2 linked regions of the Arabidopsis thaliana genome follow. The protein of the gene in region 2 interacts with the protein of the main gene of each other region in a biochemical or structural test. Each region holds a gene or a part of one and is shown on either strand. Other genes may lie near its edges.

What was found.
Region 1: the proteins of BRL2 (region 2) and AT4G26940 form a complex in vitro, tested with the Arabidopsis thaliana proteins (one study listed by BioGRID).

What each region holds. Positions count from the first base shown.
Region 1 is NC_003075.7:13,528,433-13,534,793, forward strand, and holds AT4G26940 (Galactosyltransferase family protein), read right to left. Parts: upstream 4,324-6,361; 5' UTR 3,956-4,323; coding exon 3,834-3,955; intron 3,413-3,833; coding exon 3,316-3,412; intron 3,227-3,315; coding exon 3,162-3,226; intron 3,069-3,161; coding exon 2,857-3,068; intron 2,788-2,856; coding exon 2,724-2,787; intron 2,634-2,723; coding exon 2,561-2,633; intron 2,440-2,560; coding exon 2,319-2,439; intron 2,224-2,318; coding exon 2,136-2,223; intron 2,049-2,135; coding exon 1,923-2,048; intron 1,818-1,922; coding exon 1,711-1,817; intron 1,628-1,710; coding exon 1,479-1,627; 3' UTR 828-1,478; downstream 1-827. Other genes in the region: MYB97 (myb domain protein 97), read left to right, coding at 1-445, 526-740; AT4G26950 (senescence regulator (Protein of unknown function, DUF584)), read right to left, coding at 5,211-5,645. UniProt on the Arabidopsis thaliana protein: Beta-1,3-galactosyltransferase that transfers galactose from UDP-galactose to substrates with a terminal glycosyl residue.
Region 2 is NC_003071.7:439,586-446,478, forward strand, and holds BRL2 (BRI1-like 2), read right to left. Parts: upstream 4,740-6,893; 5' UTR 4,652-4,739; coding exon 1,220-4,651; 3' UTR 1,039-1,219; downstream 1-1,038. UniProt on the Arabidopsis thaliana protein: Receptor with a serine/threonine-protein kinase activity, which may transduce extracellular spatial and temporal signals into downstream cell differentiation responses in provascular and procambial cells.

The DNA.
Region 1 (6,361 bases), on a different chromosome or scaffold from region 2:
CTGTGTCCCAAACGTTGTTATAACACTGCCTTCTCTCCCAAGGCCTCATATATTTCTTCTCCAACCAATTTCCTTGTCTCGTCTCCGACCTTTCTTCACACCCATTCCTCTCTTTCCTCCTATCAGTCTACCAATCCGGTTTACTCCATGAAACATGAGCTCTCTTCAAACCAAATTCCATACTCTGCCTCTTTAGGAGTCTATCAAGTAAGCAAGTTCTCAGACAATGGGGATTGTAACCAAAACCTGAACACCGGTTTGCATACAAATACCTGTCAGCTGTTAGAGGATCTTATGGAGGAGGCCGAGGCTCTAGCTGATAGCTTTCGTGCTCCTAAGCGGAGACAAATCATGGCTGCGCTTGAGGACAACAACAACAACAACAACTTTTTCTCGGGAGGTTTCGGACATCGTGTTTCTTCCAACAGTCTATGTTCCTTGCAAGGTAATAATAATCAGACAACTCAAAATGCTTCAATCTGCAAAAACAAGTGTTTGAATTTTATTTTATTTTGATTGACACAGGTTTAACACCAAAGGAAGATGAGTCTCTCCAGATGAACACAATGCAAGATGAGGACATAACAAAGCTTCTTGACTGGGGAAGTGAAAGTGAAGAAATCTCAAACGGGCAATCCTCTGTGATAACAACAGAGAACAACCTTGTCCTTGACGATCACCAGTTCGCTTTTCTGTTTCCAGTTGATGATGACACCAACAACTTGCCAGGGATCTGCTAGAGAAAGACGAAACAACTAAATGGAAACATGTTCCTGATTGTACAATTAAAATCCTGAATATACCTGTCAAATATGTTATTAAAGCAATATGATCCTCATGTATAGAGATCTTAGCATTGTTCATCTGTTACATGCTAGTGGACATCCCAAATGATTCACCTGACTCTTTCCAAAACACTCAATTGCTGAACTAAGCATCTCCCGCAAGTGGAATATACCTGCCAGAAATCATTGTGTACACATTCCTCTTAACCAAGAAAAGTTTTTATTAAGCTTCTGAATTTCTTCTCATATGGTCTAATCTTTATTGACTAGTTTTGTGTTTCAAGTACACACATAAACAACCCATGTTTCACCACAATCATGGCAAAGGAAAAAATGAACAAAATAGGCAAAATCCAAAAAGAAATGAAGAAGAAAAGCTCAAAAGGCAGAGAAAACGCCTCAATGAAATGACTCTGAAGGTGCACTCATGGAGTCCGCCTTTGCAGCTAAAATCTGCATTTTCTGTGTGCAAAGAACTCCAGACCTTCAGAGAATTGAGAAAAGCATAAAGAAACAAGAAAGGAGGGCAAAAAGCACCCTTCTCATCTCAGTTCACAAGATACATACATACATACATACATACATACATATATAGAGAGAGTTTGACTGTGTGTCTATACTACCAAGTGTAGACTGTCGAGCGGATTTGTCTCTGTACTCTTCTTCCTCAATGTGTTTCTTTAGTTATTGTGTTCAGAAAGATGCAGCCAGAAGGGCCTTTTCACCTTCTCCACACCTACGATGAACATCCTTCATCCTATCCGCTGATCTACAAATCCCACTGCAGCTCCAATCGAACGAGGCAACACAGATGTTGCCCGCCTGCGCCTTCCACTCACAATCTGCAGTTTCTCATTGATCAACAAATGGAATCGAGAAAACTTCCATACTTGGACATAGATAAGGGAACTTGAATTTTTTTTACCTGTTGTACCACAACATAGCCTACGGTCATCTACATGCTCCACATCTAATCCAAGAAACCATGATCCTAAAGAGACATCTTCATTCACATATTTGTGAAGTACGTTTCTGTATACACAATTCGTCCTTGGTTAATACACAATCAGCGTATGAGCGTTTAAGCATAAAGCAGATTAATTTTTTGGATTGTCAAGGCAGTGGGAAATAACTCACTGGTTTATCGATATGTAAGACGCCAACTCCCTGGATATTGCATAGAGCTGACCTGTGGCATGGCGGAAGTATTTGTTACCCTCTTCTCCAAATTTCCAGTATTCGGGTTCATGATATCTCACTCCTCTAAAATTGGAAATTTCAGAGAGAGATGAAAGTGAGACAAACATTAAAAATGAGGAGTGGTCTCTTGAAGGAAGGTGAACAACTTACTTCTGAGCAAGAACAGGTCCAGATTTCATGCAACCAATGTACACTCGGGGCTTCATCCGGTATCTTGCTAATTCTGCTCCAAGCGTGGCTGCAGAAATATCCATGACAGAAGTGAGCAAAGGCACAAACTTGAGATGACAAGAAACAAAACAATTCAGATACTTTAAGAGAGTTTATATTCACCTATATTTACATGCACATCATCATCGACTTTGACGTAGAAGTCTGCATCCCACATTGCAAAAGCCGTGGTAAAGTAAGTTTTAGTCTTTGCTGACAGCTCGAGATAACCTTCAACATGATCCTGCTCAAACAAACATAAGAATTTAAAAACAGAAAGCCTGAATATCGGTAAAATGTGACTGCCGTGAACCTGCCCACAACAAGTATAATTCCATGAGAAAAATGACCCGCACAAGTCTTACCAGCCTCAAGAAGTCTCCATGTTTACTTTCTTCAGCCTGAATCGCTCTATCAAGAATTCCACCGGGAGTAGAACTGCCCACAGAAAACACTCAATCAGGAAATCTCTAACCGAATAAACCTCGCAAATAACGATTTTTGCCACTCTTATGGTACAAGTTTTACCTATGGCCTATCACAAACCGCATCACGATCCCTTTCTCTTCCTCGAGCTTCTTTCTCTCCTCACCTAAAGAAGACACATGTTTAGTCCCAGACAATATACTTAAGGCTGAAACCGCTGCTTAGATCAACATACCGGGAGGCATCCAAGTAGCACGGACTGAATCCCTGCGCTTTCTGCTGCTAAACGCAGTATTAACACCAACAACCATCAGATACTTTCTTTTAGTGACAGTTTCAGGGAGCTTAAAGTCATCAGAAACTGGTGAACCATTCATGATAGATTCTTGCGCAGCTCTTGCATCGGCCAGTTCTGTTTCCAGCTTTGAAATCGTTTTATCAAGCGTTCTACACAACACCATTGAAGCAAAACCAAAAAGTTCAATGCAAACCCGCATTCAAAGTCAAAAAGAAGTTCTAAATCATATGATTTCCACTTACTGAATTGCATCTGGACTCTTGTAAACATCTCCAAGGATGTCTTTCGATTCACGCTTTAAACCCTTCTGATAAACAGAAATAATGCTATGAAACTCAGGAATCAAAAACTCCTCTAGTGCTCATGACTATCAATTCACCTAAATTAGAAACTTACTTTTGATGAATCACAGTCCTCAGACTCTAACCGCAGCCGTTCATCTGATGCTACTGTGTCCCTTGATACAACATTGGATTCAGGCTCTGGCCACATTCTATTAACAAACACAGTCTGATTAGTCTACTATTAGACGATCAACAGCTTGCGATTGATTTTGGTTCTTCCATGAACTACTTTGTCCATAAAGAATATACTTTTGTCTATAAATAAATCTCAGGATGTACTTTTCGTTACCTTTGTGAAGAATTACAACCTTTCCAATAGTGAATGAAATTAAAAAATTTGCGAAACAAGAAAATTTAATCACACTTTCCCGGAAAAAATTGGACCCAAAACTTTCACAGCATGAATTTTCACGAAAAGTCGTTAGATTTACAAATCTGGGTGTTTCGAAAATGAGATAATTTTACCCACCGACAGTCCTAAAAGAGATAAAAAAAATTCCCGGGAAAATCGTATAACTGAAGAAATAAGAAAAGAATAAGTGAGTTCATTAGAGAGCATTGTTTTGTTACCTGTCGGAGAAGAGAATTCCTGCGCAGAAGAAACCGATACAGAGAAATAAAGTCCATTTCTTTGAGACAAAACTCTTCGAAGCAGAGAGCTCTAATCCTCTGTGATGATGCTTCAACGACATCTTTTTGTGCGTGTTTCTAAGCGAAACTATAAGAATCTATTGAACCCAGAAAGACAGACTCTCAAAGAGATACTAATAAACGAGAGACATCCATCTCACGAGACGACTTGTCCCGAGTCAAAACCGAGTCAACCCCAAACCAAACCAAACCCCAGATCCAGAAGATCGAGACTTTTCTCCTCGGAAACGAGAATGTAAACAGAGAAAGTATAGATCGTGATATTAGATTGATCCTATGAAAAGACGAATGTATGTGGAAAACGACAAGAGAGAAAAGCCGTGGCTTTGTGTCTTTGCCTTTGGTGCGTGGAATTCGAAGCTGGAAGAAGATGAATCGAATCTTATTTAGTTGCGATTTTAGTGTTGGGCTAATTAAAATTATATTATTATTTTTGCTTTATTAGTTAATTTTCACTTTACAGTAATAATATCAAGTAGATTGGATTAAGAGAAACTAATTAAAATTGAAGCTACCGACAGGACCACTCTACGCATAAATTTTGACCAACTAACCTTTGTCAAAACTCTAAACCAATAAACAAATCAAATTAGTTAGTTTTTAGGCAAAATATTAGGTGAATTTTGTCTTTCTTATAGAAATTTAGAGTAACCAGCTACATAAATATGAACTTTTATGTGTGTTTACTGTAGTTTTAAGAAAATCTCAACATGGTACGAAAGTTAAAACTCAATTTGCTCTCTCACATGCATGGTTCACAAAGCTGTCGAAGAATGGCGACAAAGGGAATCAACATTGACCACGTGTTCAGCACATGATCCTCAATCAACGATTTCCAACTTACAAACAACTCACCTCTACTTTTTTCAGATTCCTTTTTTTTTTCTTAATTAAGATCAATAGTCTTTATCATCGACGGTTCGAATCGTGTAACTCAATGAATCTTAAGCTCATACAATCTTTACTTGCAAGTCTTTTTTCACAACCTAACTTTAGGTTAAGAAAAAATTAATCTTATAACATTCATTTTCAACAATAGTTTTATTTTTGCCAAATCAAATCACCTACTATTTATTAAAACCAAAAGAAAAAAAAAATTCACCTATATCTGTATTATTGTTTTACTATGCCAAATCAAATCACCTATATTAAAAACCAAACGAATAAAAAAAGCCCCACCTATATATATACATCTTACCAAACTAGAGTTTTTAAGAAATGAAATCACCTCTAATAACTAAGGTAAATATCTAAGCATTCGGTTCATACATATCTTAACATTTATACAATCTTGGTCTACTCAAGAAATCCAGTTTGCTTCAATATTGCATTCCTTACTTTGCTCAAATCTCTTCCTTTCAGTTTTCTTCCAACTCCTTCCATAACTGAAGACGACGATGATGATCGACTGCGCCGCAGGAAATATTCCTCCGGTGACACATTCTCATCATCAACAACTTTCTTTGTCTTCTTTCTTTGAACCATTGACCAATCAGGGACATTGACAGGGACCGACTGTTGTCTCATAGGTGCCATTCCTTCTGTCCTCTGCCTCTCAGGAATCATTCTAGGTTCGCTTGGAAGTAAAGTTTGGGTTGAGAAAGAAGGTTTAGTCGTATGGTTACTACTAATCATAAACGGTGATTGATATCCATCAAGAACATCCCACACATCATCTTCTTGAAAATCTCCATCTCCCCATAGCTCATGCTTCATGTAGCTCTTCTCCATTGATACTCACCTGCTTCTACAAAACATAACATGACGACCAAGAAAGATCTTCGATTAAACAAAAACTCTGAGCTAGCCAGTAGTCACAAAATCGCAAAAGAGACAAGAATGTAAGAGAGAATCTACGTACGAACGTACCTTTTGACGTTTGATTAAAATGAAGCTTAAAATAATATTCTGAGATTATAAAGAGTGGAATCTGTGCCAAGAGAAGCAAAATAGCTTCAAATTTTGAGAAGAGAAAGGAAGAAAGTGACACAAGAGGTGTGGGATTGAAGAACGAATACGTAGATTGGTTCTTATTTTGTCTTTATAGATATGATCCAAAGACGTGGGAATCTATATTCATTATTCGTTCGCTCATTTATTATGATCATCAGTATTTGTTGCGTTCTGTCATAGTGATGAGTTTTAAAGGTCAAAAAAAGTACACTACATTGCTACACTAAAGGCTAAAGCATATGTAGCCAATTTTACTTTTAGTTTCTTTCATCACGGAAAGTAATTAATCATCATGAATTAAATTTACTCTGCAAGTTTTATATTAGAAAAATGGGTACCACATTCGATATATGTTACTGATTAGTGTCGATATATCACTTTTCACAGATTCATCCCCTTGAAAGATCGAAAATGTGGAGCCTGTGGCTTGACAAAGGTCCAATTCAGACGGCTGACTTGGTAATAGTGTAAGTTCTTTTGACAAAACAAAAGCT
Region 2 (6,893 bases):
TTAGGGTATTTTCAATGGTCTTTCTATATTTTTCTTTATTTTTAAAGGTGATTCTATTTTAGAGGTATTGTATTCTAATAATCATCTCTAAAATTAAGTTTTCTTATAAAAAAAAATAGAGATATATTTTTTTTTAAATAGAGATGTTTACTTTTTGAGGAAACTCTATTTTATACGTGACTATTGGTGCACAATGCCTCTAAAATATAATCACCTCTAAAATAAAAAAAATTATAGTGGTCACTTTTTCAAAATATTTAGAAGTTGCATATCCGAAAGCATGCAACTTCTAAATATTTTGAAAAAGTGACCACTATAATTTTTTCTATTTTAGAGGTGATTATATTTTAACCTATATTCTCCTCCATATTCTCCTTTTATATTTTGAAAAAGTGACCACAGTTTTTGACCTATATTCTCCTCCATATCCAAAAACAACCGTTTGATAATACCGTTGTTAATGTGTTAATCATTTCTTTCAATTAGAATGGAACTATTGAAATTTGAAAACTCTAAATTACTAGACAACCACCTACTTGATTCACATCAACAAGTATAAATTCACACATACTAATGAAGTAACACATTGAAATATATTCTCTTTTGTGGTTTGAAATACTATTCTCACAAAAAAAAATATTCTACTCACGAATGTATAGTCTTATAGTGTTAGATGTTCATAGGCCTGAAGGAGAAAGAGTCATTATGGGCCTAATGTTTCTATATTCTAAATAGTTCTTTATGGCCCAAATATAATTTTGAAACTTCAGTTGTTGAGCCCATTTGTATGTTCTCTATCCAAAGCCTAATCGTGTGTATTCGAGCGTTTAATAAAGAACAATTTTTTTTTTTTTTTTTTTCTAATACCAGGAAGTTCTGGGCCAATGTCGGTAATCCTTTCATGCACGAAACCACATCGTGTAATATTAGTTTCGTTTCAAGCGTTACTCAAATCGGCGTTCTCTAAGCTTCGTTTACGGTCTTTACCAATTGAGCTAACGACACTCGGTAATAAAGAACAATTCACCAACTAAGACTCTGATTTGTTATAATCTGCATAGTTATTTATTAAAGGAATCAGAATTTAAATTACATTAATTAAGTCTTGATACATCATGAAATTTTAATCATTGATCAACCACACATACACATTCTCACAGGAAAAAAAAATGCATTGAAAAAGCCAGAAAAACAAAAAAAAACAGAGATCTTCATGTTGTTACAAGCTGTTACTGTGACTGTGACTATTATTTTCACTTCCACGAAGTTCTCTCAACGAAGCAACAACTTGTAACATATTAGGTCTCTTTGATGGGAAATCGTCAACGCACCGTAACGCTATCTCCAAATACCTCAACATTTCTTTCACAATCACTCCTCCTTCAAAACCTTCTTTCTCATTCAGAGACTCCGAAGAACCTTCTTTTAGAAGGTCTTCATCAATCACTTCCATGTGTTTCCCTTCTCTTGCCTTCATCTTCGACCAACCTACTAAATTCGTATCACCAAACTCTTCTTTATCCGTTGGTCTTTTCCCGCTTAAGATCTCGAGCATCACTACTCCGATTGAGTACACGTCGCCTTTTGCGGTACATCTGAAACTTTGGTAATACTCTGGTGGTACGTAACCTGGCGTGCCTGCCAAGGTACTTACACTCAAATGTGTGTCTAATGCGCTGATCAGTCTCGCCATTCCGAAATCTGAAACTCTTGCTTCCATGTCTTGATCGAGAAGCACGTTGCTCGATTTCATGTCGCGGTGGATTATGTGAGGGATACAATTGTGATGCAAGAAACAAAGTCCTTTTGCTGCTCCTTTTGCAATCTTTTTCCTCTCTTCCCAACCTAAAATCCTCCGTTTTTCGCCTGTTCTTGGTCCGTGAAGCACCTCCTCGAGGCTTCCGTATTGCATAAACTCGTAAACAAGCAATCTCTCTTCCCCGATTTTACAGTATCCCAAGAGCGGTACGAGGTTTCGGTGTTTGATCTTCCCTAAGGTTTCCATTTCTGCCATGAACTCTCGATCTCCTTGACAACTAAGTCTAATGAGCTTCTTGATCGCCACGGAAGACCCGTCTTTAAGCGTCGCCTTAAAAACCTCACCGAATCCGCCGTGTCCGATCATACTCGCGGCTGAGAATCCGTTTGTCGCCTCGATAAGCTGCGAAAACTTAAGCTTTCTCAACTGTCGCTGAAACGTCGCTACATTAATACTCAACGGCTCTTTCTCCTTCTCTATCTTCCATGTAGTGGCGGAATTAACCGCCTGCAAACTGTGAAGCATCTTCGCATCATCCGCATCTCTCCTCCTCGCACGAACCGCAATCGCCCAAACGATTAAAATACAAACCGAAGCAGCGGAAATCAACACTCCCAAAACAATGCTATTCGCCCAAGAAGCTGCCCTAGTTCCGTGCTTAGCACGTTTCCCTTCCTCTGTTCCAGCAGGAAGCTGATTGTTTCCATTCTTACATTCCGGTAAAGGAACACCGCAAAGCCCCGGATTATTCGCGTACTGAGTCGCCGGAAGCGTGCTTAACTGACCTCTCTGAGGAATCGGACCAGTTAACTCGTTATTCGACAAATCAATCTGCACCAAGAAAGACAAATTCGAGAAAGATTCAGGGATTTGACCCTGCAACCGATTATCCGAAGCATCGAAAACACCGAGATTCTTGAGCTGACCAATCGTAAACGGAATCTCGCCGGAGAGTTGATTATGAGAAAGCTCAAGAACTTGAAGAGCAATCATTTCTCCAATCTCATCAGGGATTTTACCTCTAAGCTGATTATAAGAAAGATCAAGATACTCAATGGTTTGATATCTTGTGAATAGACTCAAAATTGGACCTGAATACATTCTTGTGAAGTCACAGCTTTTAAGAGATGGAATCTGAAGAAGCCTCTCTGGTCTGATCCCTGAGAACTCAACCAAACCTCCAACACCTTTACATGAGTTTCCAACGTTTCTAACAAAAGCCATTGTGTTTCCTGAGAGTAAACCGGAAAGTGCTTTTGAACCGGGTTGACGACCTAACCGGGGAGGGATTTCACCGGTTAAGTGGTTTGTGTTAAGATCAAGCCAAACCAGAGTTGTGCATTTTCCTAGCTCCGGTGGGATTTCTCCGGTGAAATTGTTGTTACCGAGCTGAAGAACGGCTAACCGGGAAAGGATTCCGAAATCTTTAGGCACTTCTCCGGTTAATCTGTTGCTTGTGAATGAGACCCATTCGATGTTACTGCAATTGAAAAATTCCGGTGGGATTTCTCCGGTGAGTTGATTGTTGTTGAGGATCAAATCTTTTAGGTTTTGTAGTTTTCCGATCTCCGGTGGGATTTCTCCGGCGATGTTGTTGTACCAAGCTATGAATTGCTCGAGTTTCTGGAGGTTTCCGATCTCCGGTGGGATTGTACCGTTGAGATAATTGAGACTGAGATCAATCGTTCGTAGCTCAGAGCATTGAGATATCGCCGGTGGAATCTCTCCGGTGACGAGATTATCCGGGAGTCTTAGCTCTTCTAATGAAGCTGCTCCGGGACATAAATCCGGTGGAATCACACCGGAGAATCGATTCGAGCTGAAGTCAGCGATTCTCAAGCTCTTACAAGCAGAGATTGAAGTCGGAAAGTCACCGGAGATTAAGTTGTTGCTGAGAAGTAAGATTTGAAGAGATCCAAAACTCCGGAGGATAGTGTTCGGAAACGGACCGGAGATGTTGTTGTTTGAAAGGTCAAGACTTTGTAGCCAAGAACATGAGGACAACGACTCAGGGATCACACCAGTGAAGTTGTTGTAAGAAAGCCGGAGGTTTTGTAATGACCGGCAAGTATCTCCGATCTCCGGCGGGATCCAACCGGTGAGTCGGTTATGAGAAAGATCCAAACTTTGTAAGAGTTTAAGCTCACCGAAAGATTTTGGAATCTGCCCATCGAAGTTGTTGTAAGAAAGATTCAAGCTTTTGAGGTTGGTGCAGTTGATGAGTGAGTCAGAGATATAGCCGGAGATACTGTTACCGGAGAAATCGAGATAGGTCATGGAGACGCAAGAAGAAAGAGGAATGGTTAAACCGGAGATTGGACCGGTAATGTTGTTGTAAGAAAGATCAAGGGTTTGGAGTTTCTTGCTGCTTAAGAAAAGATCATTAGGTAACTTTCCGGTGAAGTTATTGTAAGAGAGGGTGATGGAAATAAGATTTGAGTATTTGGAGAAGAAATTTTCAGGGAGGGTTCCGATTAAACCGGAGGAAGAGAGTTCGAGATGAGTTAGGGTTAAAGGAAGAAGAAGAAGAGAGGTTGAGTTTAAGACGAAGAAGTTCTCTGAGAGTTTGAGAACAGAGAGAGAATCAAGAGAGGTGAAAGCATTGAAGGAGACGATTCCGGAGAGGCCACTACCGGAGAGATTAATCTCGGTGACTCTTCCTCCGAGACAAGTGACGCCGGAGAATTGACAAGGGGATTTACGAGGTGACCAGTTTGAGAGAATGTTGTTTGGATCATCTTGGATCATTGTTTTGAAAGAGAGGAGTGATAATGAGTCGGTTTTGAGTGAAGATTGGTCGGAGGAGGAAGATTGTGAGAGATGGGTAAGGAGGAAGATGAAGGAGATTTGGATCCGAGTCCGGATCCGAACCCGGATTGGTGAAGTAGTCATTGGAGGGAGGTTTTTTGAGTTTGAATGGAGAAGGAGAAGTAAGTAAGTTGAAACATTTAGATGATAAAGAGACGATGCTAAAGCAGAGGAAGAAAAAGGGCTTTTTTTGAAGAAAAGAAAAAGCTGCTTTTAGGTAATTTATTAAGTTTTATTAATTGTTGATGCTTATTATTTTTAAAACATCTTTGTCGAATCGTTTTTTTTTACATATGATGTTTTTCTAATAGATGATTGATTTATTAAATGGTTATGATCAATCTTATGATTTTGTGGAATTGTGATCATGACTTGTAGTGATTTGTGTAAGTGACATTATTAATCTAATAGAATACATGTTGTTTGATAATCAAAAAAATTAAGTTCAGTTTATAGAATAAAACTCTAATATTTAGAAAAATATGTTTTCAGTTTCATTTAGTCCTATATCTATTTGTTTCTAATGGTTTCATAATTTTAATTCATTAAAGCTCCATGTGGGGATTTTGAACCTTAGAAAGAATTATGATCACTGCTAATTTTCTAAATGGGAATTGTATCTATGAGATGTTTCACAAATTTCAATGAAGAAAAAGTGTAGTATTATATAAACTTCCATTTAAAAATTTAGCTATATACTATTGTTGTATAACATTTCTTAAAATGATTTAAATATTAGTTGTATAACATTTCTTAAAATAATTTAAATATTAGATGACAAGCAACTAGATCTAATAAGAGTCGGAAGGAATTGTCCGTTGTAGAATCGTCTATGTAACAGTGCAATAAATAATAAATCTAAGACTGGCAAAAAAAAATAATTGACAAGCAACTGAATATGAATATAGTTAGTGATATAGTGACAACACTAATAAAAACGAACATAATAGAAATTCTAGTCTATAATCACATCAAGTTTGGAATTTTGGGATAATTTGTTTTGTTTTTGTTGTGTATTGTATTAATACTTTATTTAAAAAAAAAACAAAACCTTTTACAAAAGAATGGCAATTATATTGAAAGGAATTTTGGGAGAAATTATTCCAAACCGATATACAAATATTTCATATGGTGGGGTGTGTGGTCAAAATAATTGGGACCCAATTTAGTCATAATATGCATCGCATATGAAATGGTCTTTTGTAAAATTTGGTTGATCCAATGTTCACTGTCGAGGCAGAGGCGTGGGGGAATGAACAGAGAAGTGACTTTACAAATTACAATAACAAACTTTAAGGTGTAACCATAATGTTGCTCACTTCTTTTTCCATTTTTATGTGATTTTAATTAGTTTAGTTTCATATAATATGCCATAGATGAGCCTTTATATCATGTTCCATGTCACACACTCCATCCTTTTCATCATTACACTGCCTTCTTCCACCAAGTTTATGAGTAGATTTGTATGACTTAAGCAAAATATTAGCTTGATTATTTCAGCCAACGAGAAAATGCTATTTTGAAATGTTCATTGATAAATAATCATATACACATATTAAAGAAAAAAATATACACAAGTCATATTTTAAAATGTTTCAATTGGTTATACCCTAGCTACCATTCAATTGCACAAGAGACTATTTCTTTAAGATCAATAGTTTCTAGTAAGAAATAATTATTCTTAGAACATTTTTCCATTGCAATTAATAGTGCAAATCTTATCACCTATAGTGTGATTTTGTGTGTTATAAATTTGTAATATATCATACTGTTGAAGACTATAGAGTATATTTTATTGATTCTGTTTAATAAATAAAGGACCGAATAGTGGAGAGTAATAGAGAAAAAGCCCCACAAAAGAAACAACATCAATTAGCTCGTGGTTTAGTGGCATGAGAGGTTATGATTCCTTTGGCCCCAATATTTTTAAATAATTCTTTATGTAAATTCTTCTTTTCACTACCACTAATCCTTATATCTGTTTTGTATGAATTTTGTTCTGTATTCTCTTGAACGTCAAGTTATTTGACCGCTCAACAAGTAATTCCAATCGAAATCAGACTAATTTGCAATTTTGTATGAGTAGTGAGTAAATACAGTATACCACAAAGATTGACTTCTCCCCATGGCCATAAAGAATCAACATTGAAAAATATTCGGTAAACGTTTTAGACTTTTAGTTATTTTTTTTTGTCCAAAGTGTGTAGTATTTGAATTCTATTTGCATGTGAGTTTTAGTGTGGAATCACTAAGTATTTGATGTGTTTACGAGTGAATTACTTTGACGATTCAAGTTGGTTTAATAGTGTGTTGTTTGAGGATTCAT